Cricetulus griseus: one gene and its partner. The main gene of each other region encodes a partner of the protein of the gene in region 2 in a complex. Links are inferred from orthologs where the notes say so. Each region holds a gene or a part of one and is shown on either strand. Other genes may lie near its edges.

Region 1 (4,195 bases), on a different chromosome or scaffold from region 2:
ATTACTACTGTTAGACATTCTATCCTCTCACTACATAGTTCCTACCCATACTTAGATTGCTTAAAACCCCCCTACAATGTTGCCGAATTAAAACTACTATAAACATTAAGGCTACTAAAAGATTTCATAAATGCTAGTAGACTGAATAAGATCCTCACCAATTTCTCCAATCTTTACTAGTAGTTTTGGATTTTTTGTTTGTTTGTTTGTTTTTGTTTTTGTTTTTGGAGACAGGGTTTCTCTGTGGCTTTGGAGGCTGTCCTGGAACTTGTATACCAGGCTGGTCTCAAACTCACAGAGATCCGCCTGCCTCTGCCTCCCAAGTGCTGGAATTAAAGGTGTGCACCACAACCGCCCAGCTCCTTTACTAGTAATTTTAAGCCTTAAATTTGACATAGTCCCTCAGCATGTATCAACATAAGGCATCAGACAATGTACATCCTTTGTAGCAAAGAAAAGAAAAATAAGAGTTTGTCCGTATTATCTTTGAAAATTCAAAGATTGAGCCAGGTGGTGGTGTTGCATGCCTTTAATCCCAGCGCTTGGGAGGCAGAGGCAAACAAATCTGAGTTCTCGGTCAATCTGGTCTACAAAGCTGAGTTCCAGGACAGCCAGGGCTGTTACATAAAGAAACCTTGTCCAACAAAAATATAAAATAAAGATAAATAATAAAAGCTTGAAAGGATACATTTTCAATCTCGGAAACATCTGAGCAAAGGTAACACTCTCTCAATCTGAAAATTGTCTGTGCTGTGCTTAAGTGATAGCTCAGTGGATAAGAGCGCTTGTCCTGCACTCACGAGGACCAGAACTGGAACTGTAACCACCCACATAAAGACAGGCATGGCTACAAGTGTCCGTAACCCCAGCATTGAGGGGTAGATCGGGATGTGATTCCAGAGTTCACTCTCTAGCCAACCTAGGCTATGAGCTTCCAATTCAGTGAGGTGCCCTGTCTCCAGGCAGTAAGGTAGATGGTGATGAAAGATACACAAAGCCCCACTCTGCCTTCCACACACTACACAATGTGGTTTACATGCCTGCACAGGCACATGCACATGCACATGCCACATACATGTTTTTTTTAAAGAATCTGAGCTACTCCGTCCTCCAGAAGAAACCAAAAATGGGAAGAATAAGCTAAGAACTGTTCTTTCACCTGGGTGAATGAAAAAGCCTTACTTCCCACCAAATGTACTTTTACATTTAAATACGAGTTTCTAAAAGCCATATTAGGGTTTTTTATTCAATTTTATTGCAGCCCCTGTAAGTGGATACTGAAAACAGCTTCAGGGTTCTAAAACAAGTTTTTAAAATAGACTTTAAAGCAACAGTCAAAAGTGCAATTCATTTAAACAAAAGAGATGTGTCATCAAATACACTGTTACCTTTAATTCATGATAATCTATTGCGTGGTCTTTGTCGGTATCAAAGAGCTCAAAGGCATCTTTAATTTCTTGCTTCTGTTCTTCAGAGAGCTCTCTTCGTTTTTTTCTCTTTGTTTTGTCTACTACAAGCTCACTTCTGTGACACAGGAAAATGTGTTTAGTCCACTTCAACCCAACTCACTTAGAACAAAGAATGGTTTTCTAAACTTCAACAAAGCAGAATAGTCTGGAGAATAAAGAAGCTGTCCCTAAGTCAACGTCTTGTACTCCAAATGTACTTTTATATACCAAAATCCAAAGCACTATTAGTTGTTATTCATGTTACCTACCAAGAGCATGAAAACAAATATAAAAATCCATGTGAAAGTAAATTTCACAAATGACAACCACGATATATGGTTTACCTTGGACAGCTTCTAATTAAATTCTCACAATTACTACAAAGATTAACCATAAAGCTTATAAGGTGAGTCACTTTAACACTGCAAGTTCAAAATGCTTTCAGATTATACATTTCTAACAGTGCTTTGTGTTTTCATTCCATATTAACCAGCCAAAATATAAAAGCACCTAAACAAATACTAGACGACCAAAATAATAGCATATAATGTTCCTATTTGAGTCTGTGTGATGTTTAAAAGTGTTGTCAGTCTCAACCTATAAACAATGGGTTAAACGTCTTCATTTAAAAACTCTGGAGAAGCGTAAAAGAACATCTAAAAAGGGATTTAGGGCCAAAAACGTCTGCCTTAAAGACTGCCAATGTTTAAATGAGGCACAACACGTGTATCCGCTAGGTTTTAAGAAATGGAAGCTTGAAAGCCTGAAACACGGCTGAGTGTGTAGGCTCTTTACACCTGAAGGGCAGAAGGCTGGCAGGGGCTGAGCAGAGGTGGCCGCCCGCCACACCCACGCCGGGCCACACCCCCGCCGGGCCATCAGCGTCTACCCACTCTACAGCGCCTGCACGTGAAGATGGACAGGGTGAGGAGCCAATGGGAGCCAGTGGGCCAGGTGGGTGCCTGGACGAGAATGGCGGAAATCAAGGGCACCAGATCCGCCGGGGCGGCCGACGCACAGGGCGCCTCGACCGCGGAGAGAGCCTGGCTGTCCCACGCTTGTCCTAAGGAAGGAGGCCGCCAGGCCCGAGTTCCTCACACGCAGGAGGGAAACCTCGCGAGACTGGGCTCCCGATGCGGCGCCGGCGCAGTCCGCAGAAAAGGGCCGCACCGCCGTGATGCTCGGCGCTCTGCACCCGCGCCCGGCCCGGCTTCCCTTCCGCGCCCGCCCTGGCCCTCTGCGGAATGGACACACGGCCTCCTCGTTACCGACCTCAAAGCTAAACTCATTTTCTCTTCCGGCCAAGATGTTCCGCCCAAGGACTTTTCCACGGGAACCGCTCAACAGCCACCAACCTCCCGGCCGCGGGACCACCCACCAAACAGAGATTTCTGGTTGCGATTGGCTGAAGACTGCCAATAGTCGGCCCATTGGGGCGGGAGCCTCGCCGGCCCTCTGTTCTCATTGGTCACCGTTCGTGTCAATCAAGTACCTTTGGCCCTGCTGCCGGTGTCAGTCACCACGCTGGGTTCGGGCGCTCTGGGGGGGGAAGGGAAAATGCTCAGCACAAGCAGTCACTGGGGATCCAGCCCTTGCCACTCAGAAGGTCAAAACGTAAATCTGAGGGCTTTGTTCTCCATTCTTATTTCAGTAACTACTAAGCCACCAAGTGTTTTCCCTTTTCAACGTTTCCAAGTGATTCCAAGAATTCACCCTGTAGACCAGGCTGGCCTCAACCGCAGAGATCCGCCTGCCTCTGCCTCCCAAGTGCTGGGATTAAAGATGTGCACCACCAAGGCCGAAGACAAACTAAAGTAGGCTCATCATTATGTTGGTCTGTTAGTTTATTTACAGAAAAACTACCTAAACCACCGTTTTCAACTTGTGTGCGATTTGAGATGTATTTGTTTGCTTCTGTCCTGTATTTTCTAGTGCTGAACACTGTTTATGTGCCCATGGTCTTCATTACCCACCAGGCCTCCTGAAGCTCACCTGGATCATTCACCTGCTAAACTGAATGGCATCAAAGTCAGGAGTCTACTTTCCATTTAACCGAATGTTTGCACCAAATAAAATACCTGGTATTATTAAATATTAAATTATTAGATAATCTGAAAATAAACCATTTACATGAAGATGTTTGAAACAAAGGACAAAATTAAATTAGAAGGAATAAATTACAGAAAAATAACAAGACAATTTTTGTTTGTTTTTGTTGTTGCTTTTTTGAGACAGGGTTTCTCAGTGTTAACATCCCTGGATATCCTGCAAGTCTTTAGACCAGTCTGACCTCAAACTCAGAGATCCTCCTGTCTCTGTCTCCCACGAGCTGGAATTCAAGGTATGCATCACCACTGCCTGGTAATGTGAGATGATTTTTTTCAAAGGAACTTGATAGAAATAATAAATCGATAAAAATGCTCTCATTTAATATTAAGCTTATTCTTACAACACATAAATTTCAGACTCCTGGGAAGTAAAAGAAACAAACTATTACTACTTAGTTACGCCTTTAAAAGGGAAGTTTAAACAGACCAGCAAAGATAGTGCATTGGTTAAAAGCACTTCTATACCAGTCTGATCTCCACCACCTGCAACCTGCTAGAAACTCATAGTGGAATAAGAGACCAACCCCAAAAAGTTGTCTACTGACTACAGGTGCCATGACTGTGGCACAAACACACACACACACACACACACACACACACACACACACACACTTATAAACTTGATGTTTCTAATACATA
Region 2 (3,562 bases):
GTATCTTGGGCATGCTACTTAATGGCATTGTCTCTCTCATGCCTTGGTTTTCTTATGGCACTGGGGAATGAGCCCAGGGTCTTGCCCTTATAGACAAACAGTACTGTGGAGCTGTGTCTTTTCATTCATGAAGTGCCGAATTCTCACTATATAAAGTGATTGTATTAAACTTACAGATATTTGAAAATTGCTTAAAAGAGTGCCCAGATCCCACTATAGCTGTAATGAATGTCAGCTGTAGTATTATGTCATTGTTTTTCCTTTAGAAGTTGCCATCCTAAGCTTAATTTCTCAGATTTTTAAAGGAAAGATTTCATAATATAAAAGATTTTACCACCAAAAAGAGGTCTTAGGTTATTTCTTGAGTTTGAATTACATTGGATTAGTTTTCTTATTTCCTATTTTAAGAGGGATTCTTCTTGCTCTGTTTAATTATTTTCTCATTTTTGTAGTGCTGAGGAATCTAAACCCAGGCCTTAAGCACAAGAGGCAAGCACTCCACCAGCTGAACTGTATCTCCAGCTTTTGTCTTTTGAAGAATGTGACACAAAATAATAGTTGAAATGGTTTATATTGTGTCTTTTAACCTTCTAAGGTACAGAAGGATGAAAACATTTACTGCCTATTACTAAATCTAGATCTTGGTTAGTTGTTGGTTCATAAAAACAGTATGATGCCATAATGTGATGAACTGAGTTTTAGTAAATTTTGTTGGAAACACTTGTGTTTTTTGCTTGGCATGACTGTCTATATGTACTTAATGACAAAGATAGATTTTCTATAAAATAGTCTTATTTATGTTTTTTCCAACAGGGCATTCTTAGCAGGGTTACGGAATCTGTTAAGAATATTGTTCCAGGGTGGTTACAAAGATATTTCAACAAGAGTGAAAATGCGTGTAGCTGTTCAGCAGATGCAGGTGAAGTTCCACACTGGCCGGAAAATAGAGAAGATGAGCATGTAATTTATACTGGTGAGGACAACACGAACATTGATGATGGGAGAATTACTCCTGAGCCAGCAGGCAGTAACACAGAAGGTAAATAGAGTGTGGATATTTGGTGACAAATCAGATTTTCGTGTCTTAATTTTAAGATCTTTATATTACCTGGCTATGGAGCAATCCAATTGAGTGATGTATAAATCCTGTGTGTATATGGAATCAGTTTTAAAGTGAGTATGTTTTATTTAGCAGTCTTAAATTATTTTGTGGGGCTGGAGAGATGGCTCAGTGGTTAAGAGAACTGACTGCTCTTCAAGAGGTCCTGAGTTCAATTCCCAGCAACCACATGGTGGCTCACAGCCATCTGTAATGAGATCTGGTGCCCTCTTCTCGTGTGCAGATATACATGGAAGCAGAATGTTGTATACATAATAAGTAAATAAAATAGAAATCTTTAAAAAGAGCAAGCTGAGAAAACCCTGGGGAGTAAGCCAGGAAGCAATCAATATTCCTCCATGAACTCAGCTTCCAGGCTTCTGCCTTGACTTCCCTGGATGATGTAAGCTGTAAGATGAAATCAACCCTTTCTCTAAATTGATTTTGGTTGTGGTGTTTATCACAGCAATGCAAACCTTAACTATGACACTAAGAACACTAGATGTATAATTTTCTTCTAAGTAACCATTCTTACAAGCCCATCTTACTGTTTCTCTTTATAGGCCAACTAGATAGGAATATACATTACTAATTACACCAACTGTCACAAGGCACACATCTATGTCAGTCCAAAAATTTTTTTTCTAGCAAAATTTATCAAAACACAGTAAAAACAAAACCACATTAACTAGGTCAGTGGTAGGGCCTTGCTTAACATACCATCCTCATCTTCTACCCTCCAACCCTCTCCCAAAACAGTGGAATATGCACAGAAAGATAAATATTTTTGCAGCATCTTCTTGCCAAAAGCCACAAAGTACTGAAATTATAAAAGTTTAAGCTGCAAGTCTTAGTTTTCACTGATTTATCAGTTTCCCTTAATGAACAAAAAAACTAGTACAGTTTGATAAGATGGATCAGTAGATAAAGGGGACTTGAGTTCAATGTCTGGGAAACCCGTGTCAAAGGAAAGAGAACTGACTCCACCACAGTTGTCCATTGATCTACACAGAGAGAGAGAGAGAGAGAGAGAGAGAGAGAGAGAGAGAGAGAGAGAGAGAGAGAGAGAGAGAGGCATGCTGTCCCATGTGCACAGAAGCACAAAATAATAATTTATTTTTATTTTTAAATTTTTTTAAAAGATTTTATTTATTTATTATGTATATAGTCTTCTGCCTGCATGCCAGCAGAGGGTACCAGATCTCATTCAAGGTGGTTGGGAGCCACCATGTGGTTGCTGGGAATTGAACTCAGGACCTCTGGAAGAGCAGTCAGTGCTCTTAACCTTTGAGCCATCTCGCCAGCCCTCAGCTTGCTTTCTTATTGTACCCAGGACCACCATTCCCAGGGATGACACTGCCCATGGTGAGCTGGGCCTTCCCACACCATCAAGGGAGCAAATGCATTAGCTGGGCATGGTGGTGCATGCCTTTTATCCAAGCACTCTGGAAGCAAAGGCAGGTGGATATCTTGAGTTCCAAGAGAAACCCTGTCTTGACCACCCGCCCAAACAAAATACCAAAACGAAAGAAAATGCACAATAAGCTTTGCCCATAGGCCACTCTGGTGGGTGCATTTTCTTAGTTGAGGTTTCCTTTTCCCAAACGACTACAGTTTTGGTCAAGTTGATGTAAACCAGTACCAATAGTACTCAGTTTGGTATAGTCTTTGTTTTTTGGGGGCTGCCATTGTACACATTTTGGGGTGAGGGCTCGAGACAAGATTTCTCTGTGGATCCTTGACTGTCCTCTAACTTGCTCTGTGGACCAGGCTGGCCTTGAACTCACTGAGATCTACCTGCCCCTGCCTCCTGAATGCTGGGATTAAAGGTGTGCAGCACTACTCTCTTTTGCTGGTTTTAGGATAACTTGAATTTTTTTTTTTTTTAAGATTTTATTTATTTTTTTATGTATACAGTCTTCTGCCTGCATGCCAGCAGAAGGCACCAGATCTCATTCAAGGTGTTTGTGAGCTACCATTGTGGTTGCTGGGAATTGAACTCAGTACTTATGGAAGAACGGTCGGTGCTCTTAACCACTGAGCCATCTCTCCAGCCCTGATAACTTGAATTTTGATATCTGAACTTTTCACAATTTCTTTTCAAATGTTATCAGCAACACTATTGAGGCTTTATCTGGTAGATCTCTAAGGTGATTGCTTCAACTGAACTTTCTTGCCATCAAATGGGGCCCAGGCTTTCTGTCTTTTGATGAGATTTCTGGTAAGCACTAGTGTATCTATAGTAGCAGAAGGCCCTTTCCCAGTTTGATGAGCATATTAGTAAGGAATAAGTAGCCTGAGTTTCTAATTTTATATCTGTAAAATTTTAACTATGTGTGTTGTCTTATAATGGAATTAGTAGGAGCTTAGATTTTATTCATTAAATTACTAGGTTTATTAGGTAGATTGCATTGTTTATCTTTGTGTATTTTAAATGCAAATTATGGAGGAAAAACTATAGAA

The links.
Region 1: Nup153 (region 2) and Cetn3 share a complex: the UniProt entries of both Homo sapiens proteins name them as parts of the nuclear pore complex. The link is inferred for Cricetulus griseus from reciprocal best matches to the Homo sapiens genes NUP153 and CETN3.

What each region holds. Positions count from the first base shown.
Region 1 is NC_048595.1:302,231,445-302,235,639, reverse strand, and holds the start of Cetn3 (centrin-3), read right to left. Parts: upstream 2,856-4,195; 5' UTR 2,738-2,855; coding exon 2,721-2,737; intron 1,525-2,720; coding exon 1,389-1,524; intron 1-1,388. UniProt on the Homo sapiens protein: Plays a fundamental role in microtubule-organizing center structure and function. As a component of the TREX-2 complex, involved in the export of mRNAs to the cytoplasm through the nuclear pores.
Region 2 is NC_048596.1:266,416,793-266,420,354, reverse strand, and holds part of Nup153 (nuclear pore complex protein Nup153), read left to right. Parts: intron 1-813; coding exon 814-1,039; intron 1,040-3,562. UniProt on the Homo sapiens protein: Component of the nuclear pore complex (NPC), a complex required for the trafficking across the nuclear envelope. Functions as a scaffolding element in the nuclear phase of the NPC essential for normal nucleocytoplasmic transport of proteins and mRNAs.